Pelodiscus sinensis: one gene and its partner. Each later gene encodes a partner of the first gene's protein in a complex. Links are inferred from orthologs where the notes say so. Each region holds a gene or a part of one and is shown in the gene's direction. Other genes may lie near its edges.

What was found. Proteins that work in one complex are often made in the same cells at the same time.
Region 2: ERCC3 (region 1) and GTF2A1 share a complex: the UniProt entries of both Homo sapiens proteins name them as parts of the TBP-based Pol II pre-initiation complex. The link is inferred for Pelodiscus sinensis from reciprocal best matches to the Homo sapiens genes ERCC3 and GTF2A1.

Annotation. Positions count from the first base shown.
Region 1 is NC_134717.1:3,276,977-3,284,249, forward strand, and holds the start of ERCC3 (general transcription and DNA repair factor IIH helicase/translocase subunit XPB), read left to right. Parts: upstream 1-4,232; 5' UTR 4,233-4,528; coding exon 4,529-4,547; intron 4,548-7,273. UniProt on the Homo sapiens protein: ATP-dependent 3'-5' DNA helicase/translocase. Binds dsDNA rather than ssDNA, unzipping it in a translocase rather than classical helicase activity. Component of the general transcription and DNA repair factor IIH (TFIIH) core complex.
Region 2 is NC_134714.1:38,763,650-38,771,135, forward strand, and holds the start of GTF2A1 (transcription initiation factor IIA subunit 1), read left to right. Parts: upstream 1-4,443; 5' UTR 4,444-4,553; coding exon 4,554-4,583; intron 4,584-5,154; exon of another isoform or gene 5,155-5,633; intron 5,634-7,486. UniProt on the Homo sapiens protein: TFIIA is a component of the transcription machinery of RNA polymerase II and plays an important role in transcriptional activation. TFIIA in a complex with TBP mediates transcriptional activity.

The DNA of each region.
Region 1 (7,273 bases):
TGAAAGCTTTCCTGGGAGAAGCAGAAGGTACACAGTGCAGTGTAGTAAGCCATTCCTTCAGGCAACATTGAGCAATGTCAAACTACAGCTTCAGAGACTTAAACAAATTGGTCAGATCTACAGTTGTGTAGAACTAAGTTTGTTAGCTTTTTAATCTTCTAGTTCTTTAAACTATTATCATGAATATAAAAAAGTATATATTGTGTGGTTGAATGCAAATCCATATGGTGTTTTTTGGATTAGCAAAGGTGTTACTGCCAATACCATTTCTTACCCCCTGGGAACTTCCTATCTTGTATTCATGACAAGTATGCAGTGTCAAATCATGTTAAAAAAAAAAAAAAAAAAAAAAAAAAACCCAAAGCTTTTCTATCCCCTCTCCAAAAGCCAAAAGTGATGTTTCATAGATTAGTACTGTTACTCACCCTTATCTACCAGAAAGCTATTGCTAAATAGACTAAACCAGGTACTAGTAAAAGTGAGATCCAGCAATGCCCATTTTTTAAGATAGATTTGGATGCTTGTTGTTGTTGCTTTGAGGTGCAAAATTCATTCCAGCATTAAAATGAAAAGCTTTGAACTCTACACAGTCTTATTGACATCACTAACATAATGCAAAATTTGGTGACTAAATTTCTTTCCTATGATTTACTCCTTATAACCAAGTTTGAGTTGGGGGGAATTTAAGGAAAGCCATGAAGTAAAGTAGATTTGTAATCTGAACTGCTTGTCGTGCCATAGCAAACAACTTCTCAGAGGTTGTTGGGGGAAGTAGTCCTTTTAATTTAAGAGCCAAATTTCACCCCCTAGAAACATGGGACTTACACTGCCCTAAGGGGAGAGCCATGAATGTACACTGGAGGGAGCAGAATTTTCCTACCCAAGATAAGATTTCTAAGTCAAACTCTGGATCAGGAACAAAGAGTACTCTGTTTGGTTTGTGTGTTAAATTTTCTCTGACATTACTTCAGTATCTTTTTTGGATCATACTTTACGTTCTACCATTAGCAGTACCTTGGCAAAAATTGGTAGCAACAAAAGGTGTAGTTCAGTTGAGCTCTCATGTACTGAAAGGACAAAATTCAGTGAGCTCATTTTGACTAGCTCTTTTAAAAGGAGAGAAAAGACTGGATAAAAATTAGTGAATTTTTGACCTGATCACTCAGTCATGTTGGTGGAACTCCTGCTAGTAAGGATTGCAAGACCAGACTTCTTGTGTGGAGAAGAGAAGAAAAAAATGTGGGTTTATACTGAATGTAACATGGGGAATATTTCAGAAAGTTTGGCATCTTTTTTCCCTGTAATAGATCTTCTCTTCCTCCATCCCCTGAGAATATAAACGTGGATATAAAAACAAGCATTACATTTTTTTCCTGTCAGTTTTACAATAGTTAGCTTACTACTGGTCTAAATCTGTCATTCATTTTAAAATGTAAATGATTTATTAAAACTTAATGTCTGCCATCTCAGATGTCACACAGTTCATTTAATGGAATATCATTGTAAATAAATGTTGGAGACTTAGATAAATTTGAAAGTAGGCTTTTTAATTTTCACAATGCTATGAATAAATGTGTAAATTTGCCCTTTTAATCTAATGTACATTTTTTATGTAGCTGTTAAATTCTCTATATTTAATCTATCAGTTTCTCTCTGTAAATGTTTTTACTCTCAGTTGAATGCTGGGCACAGTTTGTAATGTATGTACACAAAGGTGTTTTTTTCTATCAATGTTGACTTTTTTGCACATTTTTTGAAAAAGTTTAATTAGTACACTGATTTAATACTCTGACCAATTGATGGGTGTATGAGAATCACGTATGTGTGCAATGTACTACTGTCTGGATGTGTTTTTTATTCCTTTTGAGATGTTGCTATCAGTAACTGCACTGCTGCTGTTGCTGCTTTAAATGGAATATCTTATGTAAAAGTGTATTAGCCTATGGTTATATCTTGGTTGAGGAACTCAGGAGTTGAGCATTACTTACTAGTTCCATAATGTATCTAGCAACTTTCCAAACTTTAAAGTGTACTTGTAATTCTGCGTATGAACTGAATGTGTGTGTGCGTACACATAAATATGTTCCAGCAGTCTTATTCCACAGTTTAATTTCTACATTTTTATGAACTTGTTTTTAAGGGTACTATGTTTAGTTAGAATAATTAAATATATAAAAGCTTTGAGAGATAATTTACTAGATAAATATATTTTCAGCTGGCTGATGTTCAGAAAATATTTTTTTAATTTTGTTTTTAATCATTCAAAATGTATTTGTATTTCCAAAATTGGACATGAATTGTACTTAGAAGTATATTAAAGCACTCTGGAGGGACAACAGTGTGATTTCTCTAAGAATTTTGTTAAAAAAACAAACCCAAAATGCTTAGTGTCAGTGATACAGAGAAAATAACTGTTGTGAAAAGGGGAAAGCAATCTTTGACTTCTCAAAGCTACTTGAAAAAATGTGTGAAAACAAAATGAACCTTGGAAAAGTCAGATTTTTTCCATCTCTTGTCCTTTCTGTTGCATGTAATGTTAATGCTTCTCTTTCTTTACCCTTTTCCCTTTCCAGTTTTCTGGTATTGGAAAAGATAAGCATGTTACTATATCGCTGATTGACTGGCACATAAGAAGTTCAGAACATGCTTTAAAAATGTGGCTTACTCCTTTCAAGAATACCAGTCAAACTTTTGACTTCCAATTTGTTTAACATTTTTGTGGCTTAAAAAATAAAAATCCTGTATGATGTTTAAAGTGATACCAAGTAAAAATTCTCATGCTAGGTACACAGTGCACTGCTGAATGTCTCTAATTCCATAGTTTAGGAAAAGAGCCAGTATACTCTGTTAGACACAGGACCTACTAATTGCCTGGTACGTGTGGTTTCTTCCACTTTTCATGCACATTTTGACTTTGTTACATTCTCAAAATTGTGCTTGTAAAAATGTATAAACTTTTTTGATTTTTTTTTTTTACTTTTGTATGTATTTACCTGTTTTTTTTTCTTGCTGGTAAATGGCTTTTATTTTGTTTGGGGTTTTTTTTGTATCTGATGTTAAAAGAAGCCATGTTTATATTTTGTGTTTGATCAATGACTTTGTTTATATGAAATTTGTATATTACTGGTACACATCTTTGTTTAGGTTGATCATGCATGAGAACCTGCAAGAATTAGCACAATGAAAGATTGCTTTTTCTTCCAAATTTTTATTCATTTTTGAAAGGTTATGGTGCAGAGGTTTACAGGATGTAACCTTATGAACTATGGAACAACTATAGATAATGGCACTTTGAGTGTTAATAAAATATTTATTTCCAGTTTATATTTCTCTTGATTTGTCTCCAAGACAGCAAATATATGTATTCACATATTACATTTGCTTGCAACACTAGACAAGTAACATATCTTCTAAGTAAAGCAAAATATAACATGCAAGTAATGGTACCAAAAGCATCTGTCTACACCCAAGCTAGAAAGTTTAAATCTACAACAGTCCTCTTTTATAGATGTGAAAAACCCTCCCTCATGCTGTAAAACAAATGCCTCTGATTTTTTGTTACACAAAAATTCACCCTGCCCCCCTGCTCTTGTGCAAGATTTACAGTAGGGCAGCAGAAGACAGGGCTTCTTGTGCAAGAGCTATGCTCTTTTCGGACAAGTGTAAGCCTTCTTGCCTAAGAGGGCAGTGTGGACGTATGGCAAGGGTTTCTTCTGCAAGAAAGCCCTACAGCTAAAATAGCTGTCAGAGCTTTCTTGCACAAGAGCTCGTCCACACTGCCATGTGCAAAGCTAGACCTGTTCTTGTGCAAGAACCTACCAGTGTAGATGCAGCTGAAGTGTTAAAATACCTGTTTTTATGACTTAAATCGAAGAACCATGGCCCTGATTGGGCAATTTTTTATGCATAGTCACACTACTAGCTGTGTAGGAAGCTCCGCTGAAATGGGCGGGGCTGCAGCAACCTGCCCCTGGCTCCAGCGGCGGGATTAGCATCTGCTACCCGCATTGGACGTTTCTGATTGGACCCATCGTTATTGCGAAAACGCGGAGGGGCGGGACCCGCTCCCCCAGGTGTTTATGACGTGGGAAGGGGGGGCGGGGCCTACCCCCTAGGTGTCTATGACGAGGGGCGGGGCCCACTCCCCCGGGTGTCTGTGACGGGGGAAGGGGCGGGGCTCGGCCGAGCTGGGAGGGGCGGGGCGCCAAGGGGGCCGGTCGCGCGCTGGCCGTTAGAGCGCGGGAACGGCGGCGGCGCGCGCCTGAGCCCGCCCGCCGCGGCGCTGGAGCTGGCCCCTCCCCCCCCCCGCGGTGGCCGTTGGCCCGGCCGGCGGGCGGGGCCCCGCTCCGCGCAGGTGGAGTGTCAGGCCGGTACCGCCGCTGCGATTGGGCGGGTGACGAGGGAGGGCTACACGGGATGGGCGTTGCTAGGTGACAAGCTGGGCGGGTCCCCGTGCCGGAAGTGACGCGCAGGGCAGGCGCCGGGCCCAGCGGTGGTCGCGCGGCTGGGCAGTGACGGGCCCGGGACGATGGGCAAGCGCGAGCGAGGTGAGAACCCCCCCCCCCCCCGGGGCGCCGGGCCGAGCGGCGGTACCTGGACCCCCCCCCCCAGCGGCCTGGGCCTCCGGACCTGAGCCTGTCGGGGGGTGGGGGTGTGTCGGGTGTGGGGGGGGGTGTCTGGGGTGTGTGTCGGGTGGGGGTGTGTCGGGTGGGGGGGGGGTGTCTGGGGTGTGTGTCGGGTGGGGGTGTGTCGGGGTGTGGGGGGGGTGTCGGGGTGTGTGTCGGGTGGGGGTGTGTCGGGTGTGGGGGGGGTGTCGGGGTGTGTGTCGGGTGGGGGTGTGTCGGGTGTGGGGGGGTGTCTGGGGTGTGTGTCGGGTGGGGGTGTGTCGGGGTGTGGGGGGGGTGTCGGGGTGTGTGTCGGGTGGGGGTGTGTCGGGTGTGGGGGGGGTGTCGGGGTGTGTGTCGGGTGGGGGTGTGTCGGGTGTGGGGGGGGTGTCGGGGTGTGTGTCGGGTGGGGGTGTGTCGGGTGTGGGGGGGGTGTCGGGGTGTGTGTCGGGTGGGGGTGTGTCGGGTGTGGGGGGGGTGTCTGGGGTGTGTGTCGGGTGGGGGTGTGTCGGGTGTGGGGGGGGTGTCGGGGTGTGTGTCGGGTGGGGGTGTGTCGGGTGTGGGGGGGGTGTCGGGGTGTGTGTCGGGTGGGGGTGTGTCGGGTGTCGGGGTGTGTGTCGGGTGGGGGTGTGTCGGGTGTGGGGGGGGTGTCGGGGTGTGTGTCGGGTGGGGGTGTGTCGGGTGTGGGGGGGGTGTCGGGGTGTGTGTCGGGTGGGGGTGTGTCGGGTGTGGGGGGGGTGTCGGGGTGTGTGTCGGGTGGGGGTGTGTCGGGTGTGGGGGGGTGTCGGGGTGGGTGTCGGGTGGGGGTGTGTCGGGTGTGGGGGGGGTGTCGGGGTGTGTGTCGGGTGGGGGTGTGTCGGGTGTCGGGGTGGGTGTGTCGGGTGTGGGGGGTGTGTGTCAGGGTGTGTGGGGGGGTGTGGGTGGGTGTCGGCGGGGGTGGGGGTGGATGTGGGTGTCTGGGGTGTGTGTGGGTGGGTGCGTGTGTCTGGGGGCGCCTCTGTGCGTTTCTGTGCATGCGCCTGCCTCTGGGTGCCTGTAGCTTTCTTCGCTAGGTCAGTATCCGAGGAGGAGCCCTGCTCCTGGATCAGCAGAAGCGGCGAGGAGTCCTGTGGCACCTTATAGACTAACCGCAGTGTTGGAGCATAAGCTTTCGTGTGCAAAGACTCACTTCGTCAGATGCATGCAGTGGAAATTCCCAGAGGCAGGTATAAACATGCAGGCCAGAATCAGGCTGGAGATGACGAGGTGGATCCAATCAGGGAGGATGAGGCCCGCTTCTAGTAACTGATGTGGAGGTGTGAATACCAAGGCTGTGTCCGGACTCAGGGTTTTTTTTTTTTTTAAAAGTAGCCTTTTTTCGAAAAAACTTCACCTGCGTCTAGACTGCAGCTGCGTTCTTTCGAAATTAAATCGAAAGAACGCGACTTTTCTTTCGACAGCGGTAAACCTAATTCCACGAGGAAGAACGCCTTTTTTCGAAAGTGCTCTTTCGAAAAAAGGCGTTCTTGAAAGCAAACAGGGCTTTTTAGAAAGAGAGCATCCAGACTCACTCGCTGTTGTCTTTCGAAAAAGCGGCTTGCTTTTTCGAAAGTTCCGCGTGCAGTCTAGACGCTCTCTTTCAACAGAGGCTTTTTCGAAAGTATCTTTCGAAAAAAGCCTCTTTCGAAAGAGGCTTGCAGTCTAGACATAGCCCAAGAGAGGAGAAGCTGCTTTTGATAGGATTAGGATGACAAAAGCAGCTTCTCCTCTCTTGGTATTCACACCTCCAGATCAGCAACTAGAAGTGGGCCTCATCCTCCCTCATTGGATCCACCTCTTCTGGCCTGCATATTTATACCTGCCTCTGGGAATTTCCACTGCATGCATATGACCAAGTGGGTCTTGCCCATGAACACTTAGGCTCCAACACTTCGGTTAGTAGATAAGGTGCCACAGGACTCCTTGCCACTTTTGATAAGATAAGGAGTCTTGTGGATAAGGGAGAAGCAGTGGATGTGGTATACCTAGACTTTAGTAAGGCGTTTGATACGGTCTCACATGATATTCTTATCAACTAGGTAAATACAACTTAGATGGGGTTACTATAAGGTGGGTTCATAACTGGCTGGATAACCGTACTCAGAGAATAGTTATTAATGGTTCACAATCCTGCTGGAAAGGTATAACAAGTGGGGTTCCCCAGCAGTCTGTTCTGGGACCAGCTCTGTTCAATATCTTCATCAACAATTTAGATATTGGCATAGAAAGTACGCTTATTAAGTTTGCAGATGATACTTAGCTGGGAGGGGTTGCAACTAATCTGGAGGATGTGGTCATAATTCAAAATGATCTAGACAAATTGGAGAAATGGTCTGAGGTAAACAGGATGAAGTTTAATAAAGACAAATGCAAAGTGCTTCACTTAGAAAGGAACAATCCGTTTCACACATACAGAATGGGAAGCGACTGTCTAGGAAGGTGTACAGCAGAAAGGGATCTAGGGTTCTAGTGGACCACTAGTTGAATGAGAGTCAGCAGTGTGATGCTGTTGCAAAAAAAGCCGACATGATTCTGGGATGCATGAACAGGTGTGTTGTGAGCAAGACATGAGAAGTTATTCTTCCGCTCTACTCTGAGCTTGTAGGTAGGCCTCAGTTGGAGTATTGTGTCCAGTTCTGGGCACTGCATTT
Region 2 (7,486 bases), on another chromosome or scaffold:
GTGAGTTTTGGCTTTTTGAAGTCATGTGCACTGATTTGGATGTGTGCCACCATGGCACCAAATTTATTAACACACACATGTTCCCGGCCGCTGGAGCAACCCCCCCTTCCATGCAGCATGTTCCATTCCCAGCCACTGGAGCAGACACCCCCCACTCCACTATGAGGCAGGGCCTGTTCCTGGTGCCAGCCACGAGAACAAACGTTTCCCCTCCCCACCTACGTGGAAGCCCTGGCCACCAGAGCAAGCTGCTCCCACCTCCCCCCGCCCTAGTGCTCCCTCATTATGGTGTCTCAGCTGGCCCTGCCCTCCAGAGCAGCTGCCTGTGCAGCTCTCCAGAACAGGTTGGCGGGGGAAGAATTTTTTTGTGTGCAGCCGCCCAGGCATGCACCTTAGTGGGAACTATGACCCTAGGTCACAACTCCTTCCTGTCCCAGGTCACATCCCAATCTCCTGCACCCCAGACCAATGCCCCAGGTCACAACTACCTCCTTCACCCAAACTCCCTCCCAGACCCCACTCTCCCTTCTGCACCCCAATCCCTTTCCCCAAACTCCCCTCTGCACCCAACTTCCATCCCAGATCCCGCATCTCTGTTGATATAGAAGAATGCAGTCCTTGACCACTTACCAAATTCTTGGAGTGGCCCCCTATCAAAAATTCTTGCCCATCCCACTGTACAGAGCAATGGAAAATTAATACTAACAGGCTGCGTCTAGACTGGTAAGTTTTTCTGCAAAAGCGGCCTTGCCAGCTATCTACACTGGCTGCTTGAATTTGCACAAGAACACTGACGATCTAATGTAAGATTGTCAGTGTTCTTGCGCAAATACTATGATGCTCCCGCTCAGGGATAAGCCCTCTTGCGCAAATGCTTTTGCACAAGAGGGCCAGTGTAGACAGATAAAAACTGTTTTGCACAAAAAGGCCCTATGGCGAAAGTGGCGATTGGGGCTTTCTTGCGCAAAACCATGTCTAGATTGGCACGGACGCTTTTCCGCAAAAAGTGCTTTTGCGCAAAAGTGTCTGTGCCAATCTAAATGCTCTTTTCCGCAAATGCTTTTAACGGAAAAACTTTTCCGTTAAAAGCATTTGCGGAAAATCATGCCAGTCTAGACATAGCCACAGTGTTTTCCTTGGGTGGTGTCAACTTTGGCTGATATCTCACTCCTGAAGGTAACAGGGACAGAGAGAGCACAGCTGCTGCTGGTGTCTCATTGCTACCCAGGCCCAGATACTGCTAGTCTGTGTGCTATGATACCTACTAAATCACTGAATGGCATGGGAGAGTGTTGTGCCATGGTGGGAGAAGTAAGGCAGCCCTCCCTGGGAGTCTTTGGCAGAGGATTGCAGAGTACCTCCATGAAAGCTTTACTGAGATCTTTATGGAAGATTCACAGGATATCCCATTGCACATAAACACCGCACTGCTAACTCTACTTTTCTGGTTTGTTTCACTACTACTTCTAGCAGAAATGGAAAAAAGAGTAAATCAACAGCAAACTACATACTTATAAGAAGTTCTTTCCCCTGCATTAGGCTCACTTGCATTTGAGTATCAGGAGTAGCTGGATTGCAATGGAGTCAAAAACACATCCTGACTTGCCACACAGATGGATTGCATGTAGTCAGTCCCCCATGCTTCTCCTCGCTGTTCATAGCAGGGGCTGTGTCTGGGACTCCTCTAAAGTATCCATGAGACTTGGAGGATGGCATGCAGCTTTTTATAAAAGAATCAGGTAGGTAGCTCTGCATCAGATTAATTATTGGCCTCCCTTGCCTTCTAGGGTCATGAAATATGGGATGACTTGGGGCGTGGGTGTGGGTGTAGAATCAAATTAGTGAGGGCCAAACAGGGCTAAAAGGATGGATAGGAACGTGGGGCCAGGAGAGGTCACTGGATAGGGGCTGGGAGAGTTGATAACTGGACTCAAGGAAATTGGAGGGGGATTAAAAAAGACCTGAGGGTGCTGGATCACAAGTGGAGGAGAATGAGGGGGCTTTGGAGATCTAGGGAAGCCCTGTCCTTCTGGGTGGGGAGCTCAGATCAGGCATGTTAGGAGCCACGTGTCAAGAACACACAGCTGAAATGGGGATGAAGAGTTGAGAGCAGACATGCTTAATGCATATCATAGAGACTCAAGCTTTCGGGAATGGGGATGGTACACTCATTGAGATGAAGGGAAAAATTCACACATCTTAGAGCTGTTGTTTCAAGATGTATTCATCCCTATGGGCTGTTCTGATTCAGCAGACACTGGCTACATCTAGACAGCACTGTTAAATCAGAAAAAGATACACAATTTGAGATTTCTTTCACTGGTCCTGTTAGCAACTACATGCTCTAAATATTCAATATTATCATTGTCCCCATTCCAGGATACCATTTACCATACCATTTACCTTCCCCCACCCCCCCATCCCCCTTCTGTTCTGAAATTAGATTTGTCCTTTTCATAGGTGTTCATTTTTTTGATTGTATCCTTTGGTATATATGGTTGTGACAATTTTCTTCCACTATTTGATCTGAGGAAGTGGGTCTGGCCCACGAAAGCTCATCATCTAATAAACCATCTTGTTAGTCTTTAAAGTGCTACATAGTCCTGTATTTTGTTTCAGCTACACCAGACTAACACTGCTACATTTCTATCATTATTATTATTTGTGTAACTGTAGAACTGAACAGGACTAGTCATGGTCCAGGACCCACTCCACTGTATATGATGGGGGTGGGGGGAAGCAGATTTATTGGGTTCCTCAATAAAGTGGGGAGAATAACTCCATGCTCCTGGACGGGGAAGGGCCTCAGGCAAAAGGGGCAGAGCTGGAGGCATCAGCACCGTCCAGAGCACACTGTGCTCGCCTCTCCACCCCCTGCCAGTGCTGAGAGCTGCCTGGAGCATGCTGTTTAGCGCTCCAGCAATCATTTAAAGGACCTGGGGCTCCAGCCACTATTGCTTCTGTGGTAGTGGCTGACAGCAGTGGTCCCCTTTGAATTGCCAGGCTCAGAACAGCTGCCCCCTTTACCCTCATCTGTCAGCGGGCCTGACTGTACAAACAAAGAGCAAAAACATAGACTCTGGCTCAAGGATCTTATAGACTAAATCAGTGATGGGCAACCTGGGCTAGTAGGTGGGCTGCATGAGAGACCCTCCATCTCAGTAGGCTGAAAGATTGTTGTAACCAAAATGGATTCTCGGGATAGGGTAGTTTTGCTAACAGTGCTTGCAGGGTGGAAGGTTTTGCAGGGCCCTGGGCAACACAATTTTACGCCCCCCCCCCGCTTTGACACAGCGCATGCGCCATAGCGCATGTGTGGGGCCTCTGGAAGCACGGGGCCCGGGACAGCCACCCCGCTCGCCCTGCCCTATATCTGTCGCTGAGTGCTTGCTCACCTATAATTTGTGGGGTGTGCAGATTGCTGATTGCAGTGGTTTGAATGTAGAGGGAATACATGGCTCTCACAGTCAACGTTGTGTGCAATCAGAACGTACTTCTTGCGCCCTTACTATACGTGCAAAACGCTTTAGTAATACCTGTAGGAAAAAAATTTATGCAGACAGAAGCCAGCAGAATCAGGCAACACTATGCATAAGTCATTCATAGAACTCTGATGGGCTGCATGCGGCTTGCAGACTGCCCACCACTAGCCTAAATGTAAGATGAAAGACATAAAAATTCATATCCCTTTCTTGTTATCCTCTGTAAAGTAACCATGAAAAGCTTTGTTAATGTCTTTTAAAATCTTGCTTAGCTCTTAGCATCGATATTTTTGGGGAATTAATTAAGCCTTACAGAAAAATGTAAGTCCCTTTACTAGATTTTTTTTTTTAAATTTACCACCACTCACTCTCATCCACTGTTCCTATGCTCTATGGAGACAGATGCCGGAGACAAGCCGGGTTCGAGCACAGATCAGGGGCTGCAGGTTAGAATACACACTGATGCAAAAGGCGATGCTACCAATGCATCTCGGCCAGGGAGCGCCCTGCAGCCTCCGCCTCCCCACGACTACAAGGCTGAATCGCCGCCCGTGTCCCGGGGAGAAGCTCTCGGATGCCCCGCAAGCCCCATCTCGGAGCACACACGCAGCGGACATGAGCCCCTGGCTGCAGCACCAGGCACAGGCACTAAGCGTCCAGGACCTTCCCTTCCGCCTCGCTAGGTCTGAGCGGGAGCGCGCAGGTGACCTCTTCGCTACTTCCGCCTCAGTAGGTGTCATGGCGGCAGGGCGAGCCTCCCACGTGACTTCAGGCGGGCGGAGCTCGGTCCCACAAGCTCTCGCGCAGCCTCGCTTCCCCCCGCCCGCGTCCCCCTCTCGCCCTGGCCGCTCGCGCAGCTGCTCGGCTCTTGCTATATAAAGGGGCGAAGCGGGCAGAGCGGGCGGCTGGCGGCGGCGGCTGCAGCCCGAGGGCCGGCGAAGGAGGCCGGGCCAGGCCGCGGGGCTCCCCGTGCGCCGGGGCGGGACGCGCGGGGTCGGGGGGACGCGCCGGGCAGGTTTATTGTTTTAGGGGCGACTCCGCCGCGGTGGGGTGTCCCGGGGGGCTCGGGACATGGCGAGCTCGTCTAACACAAACCCCGTGGTAAGGACCGGGACGGGGAGGGAGCGGGGGGGCTCGGGCGACAGGCGGGCCTCAGAGCCCCCCGCCATCCCTGGCCGGCCCCGCCGCGGGAACGGCCGGCCTGAGCGGGGCAGCGCCCCCCAACCAGGAACCAACTTCTGCCGCCGCTGCCGGGGAGCGGCGCCGGGACCCGCCAGAGCCGGCGGGGTGGGACGGGAGCGGCGGCGGCGGCGGGCAGCAGCCTGTCTCCCAGCCAGGAGCGCCGAGGGGGGAGCCGAGTGTCTCCGTCGCCTGCACCGCCACAAGGCTGGGGGGCGGCTGGGGAGGGGGCGAGCGGCTTCCCCTGGGGGGAGAGGCTACCGGGGAAGCCAGGCGCTGCCTCCTGTGCCGGGGGAGGGGGCGGGCGGGTGGCGTATGTGGAGGCGAACTCAGCCTGGCGCTGCTGGAGCCATTTTATGTAGCTTTATAAGAAGGAGGCAATGGTTGAAAAGCACTTGTCCCAGCCCTGCAGACTCGGCTGACGGAGGAGAAACCCCCCTCCAGTCTCTTCCCCGTGGCAAGGAAGTAATTAAAAAAAACCCGAACAACTCACCCCTTCCTCCCCCTTGTGCTTTCTGCACTCTCGGCGGTGGCTTGTTTTACTTGTATTCACATAGATGTGCAATAAGCAGTCACATAAATCTTTGTAGCCGCCAAGCCCCACCGATCGCTTCTTTCCCTTCCCTCTGACAAGAATAAACCCATCCACAAGCCTACCCCCGAAAAGCTGCCGACAAACCCCAGTCCGGGCGGTTACGGTGCAGGCTTGGCCCCCTTGTTTGTGTTTCGCTGTGAGATCCATCATGGCTTCCCCTGCCTTTCTGTCTCCCTGCTCCTTGTGTTCCTCCTCCCTGTGACTGCCCTGTTTATATAGAGCCATTGCCGCTCTCTAATATAGACTCTGCCAGGATGGGAAGGTGCTTTCCAGCCCCACGTCACCGCCTCTCCATTTAAACACCACATCAGCCTTTAAATAGGGAGAGAGCTGCTGGGAGGTGCATGCACCAGAGGCAGAGACTGAGAGAGACACAGACACGCTCTTTTTGTCACTCAGTTCCTGCTTTTTCTGCTTAGCTATTAGTCCCTTCCGTATTAGTCTGCAGTTCGTAATCCCAATTGTTGAAGCTGTGGAATTTTAAAGTAGCAGTTGCTTATCACTCTGTTTATTTAGGTTGATGATTGATCTTTTCTAAATTAGGCAGTATTCTTTCCTTTTTGTGTGTTGTTTAGTGGAGGAGCACCAATCCTCACCCTATTTAGAAAGTAATCTGGAGTCCTTAGCTATTAAACAATGCAACAAATAGTGCCTAGTATATAAATGTCTGCCCTCTTACATGTCTTTTCTGCTGTGGTAAAGCTGTAGTTGAAATAAAATTATTCTTATCTAGTATTTTATAGAGAGAACTGAGGCTAGCTATTTAATGATACTTAGCAAAAGTTTACTTAAGGGTGAAGTTTTACATGTTTAAATGTTGGCAACATATTGTAGTCTAATGTAGTTTAAAATATCTGTTCCAGATAATAAAGTTGAAGGTTGTGCAGACATGTTATTACTCTCCAGGAAGAGCTAGAATTTGTTAAAAGTTTTCATAATTTTTGTGGACATAACATAATATCAATTGTGCAAATATTTTATTGCATCAGATTTTAAATACCAGGTAGCCCTCTATAGCATAAGAGCCACGCTTATGTATGTGAAAAAGGATGTCTGTTGCCTTTGTATTTTCTTTTGGTTTCAGTCAGTGAAATTAGTCAGCTATTCTGTACATGGCAATTTATTATATGTCCAGTAAGTGGCATGTAGTGAGAATAAATGTCAGCAGACATTCAAAGAGCATAGACTGTAATCACATTGATAGTTTCAGGGTTTATTATTTTGTAACAAAGACCTACTTAGGCTATGTAGTACTAGCAGATGTACCTGGCATTGCTTGGTCTTTAGTAATTTTTTAAATTAAAAAAAAGTACATGCTTTACTTAAATGACAGGGCTCAGGGCAGGAGGTTGAGTGTGTGGGGTGCTTGGTTCAGGAGTTAGGGCAGGGAGCTGTGAGATGTGTGGCGGGCTTAGGGCAGAGGCTCAGGGTAGGGATGTAAAATCCTCTTTAATTGGCTAACCAGCTAAACATATTGTTTAATCGATTAAAAGGGGGAGGATGGGTGTGCTCCCCCTTCCCACTGCTGGGGGAGAGAGAGGGGACACCCCTCCCTCCTTCCCTCTGCTGCAGCCTGGCCGGTCCCTGCCTGCAGGGTACCCTGCGGGGCTGCGGACAAAGGGTGCTCTGACTGGGACAATGGAGCAGCTCTTCCTTGTGACCGGGTCAGGGCACCTCAGAGACAGGGACTGCTCTGAGCATCCCAGTCACAGCAGCCCCTGCCTGTCCATAGCAGGCCCCCTGTGAGGCTGGAGCAGCCCCTACCTGCAGCAGATGGAGAGCTGCTTCAGCCTCATCTGTTCATCTTAACCCACAAGGAGTATTGGTTAAACCTTCGTATCCCTAGATCAGGATATGGGGTGGGGTGCCTCAGGATAGTGGATGGGGTGCAGGAGTCAGGGCAGGGGACTGGTTGGGGAGCTTAGGTTGCCGGGTTCTGGAGTGAGGGCAGAATGTGGGGGCTCAGGGCAAAGGGTTGGGTGTAGGGGAGTCAGGGCAGGTGTTCAAGTGTGGGGGGGCTGGAGGCAGGGGATGGGGGGACTCGGAGTAGGTGAGGGGGAAGGAGTGAAGATGGGACTCGAGGTAGGGGTGCCTCGCCTCTGAGGCTTTGCTCTGGCGCTGGACCGCTTTGCTCCCGGTGCCCCTGGTTTGCTGGAGACGGTCCCCAGCAGACCAGGGGCACCGCGAGCAAACCCGCAAAGCCTCAGAAGCGCAGGACCCCCCGCTGCTG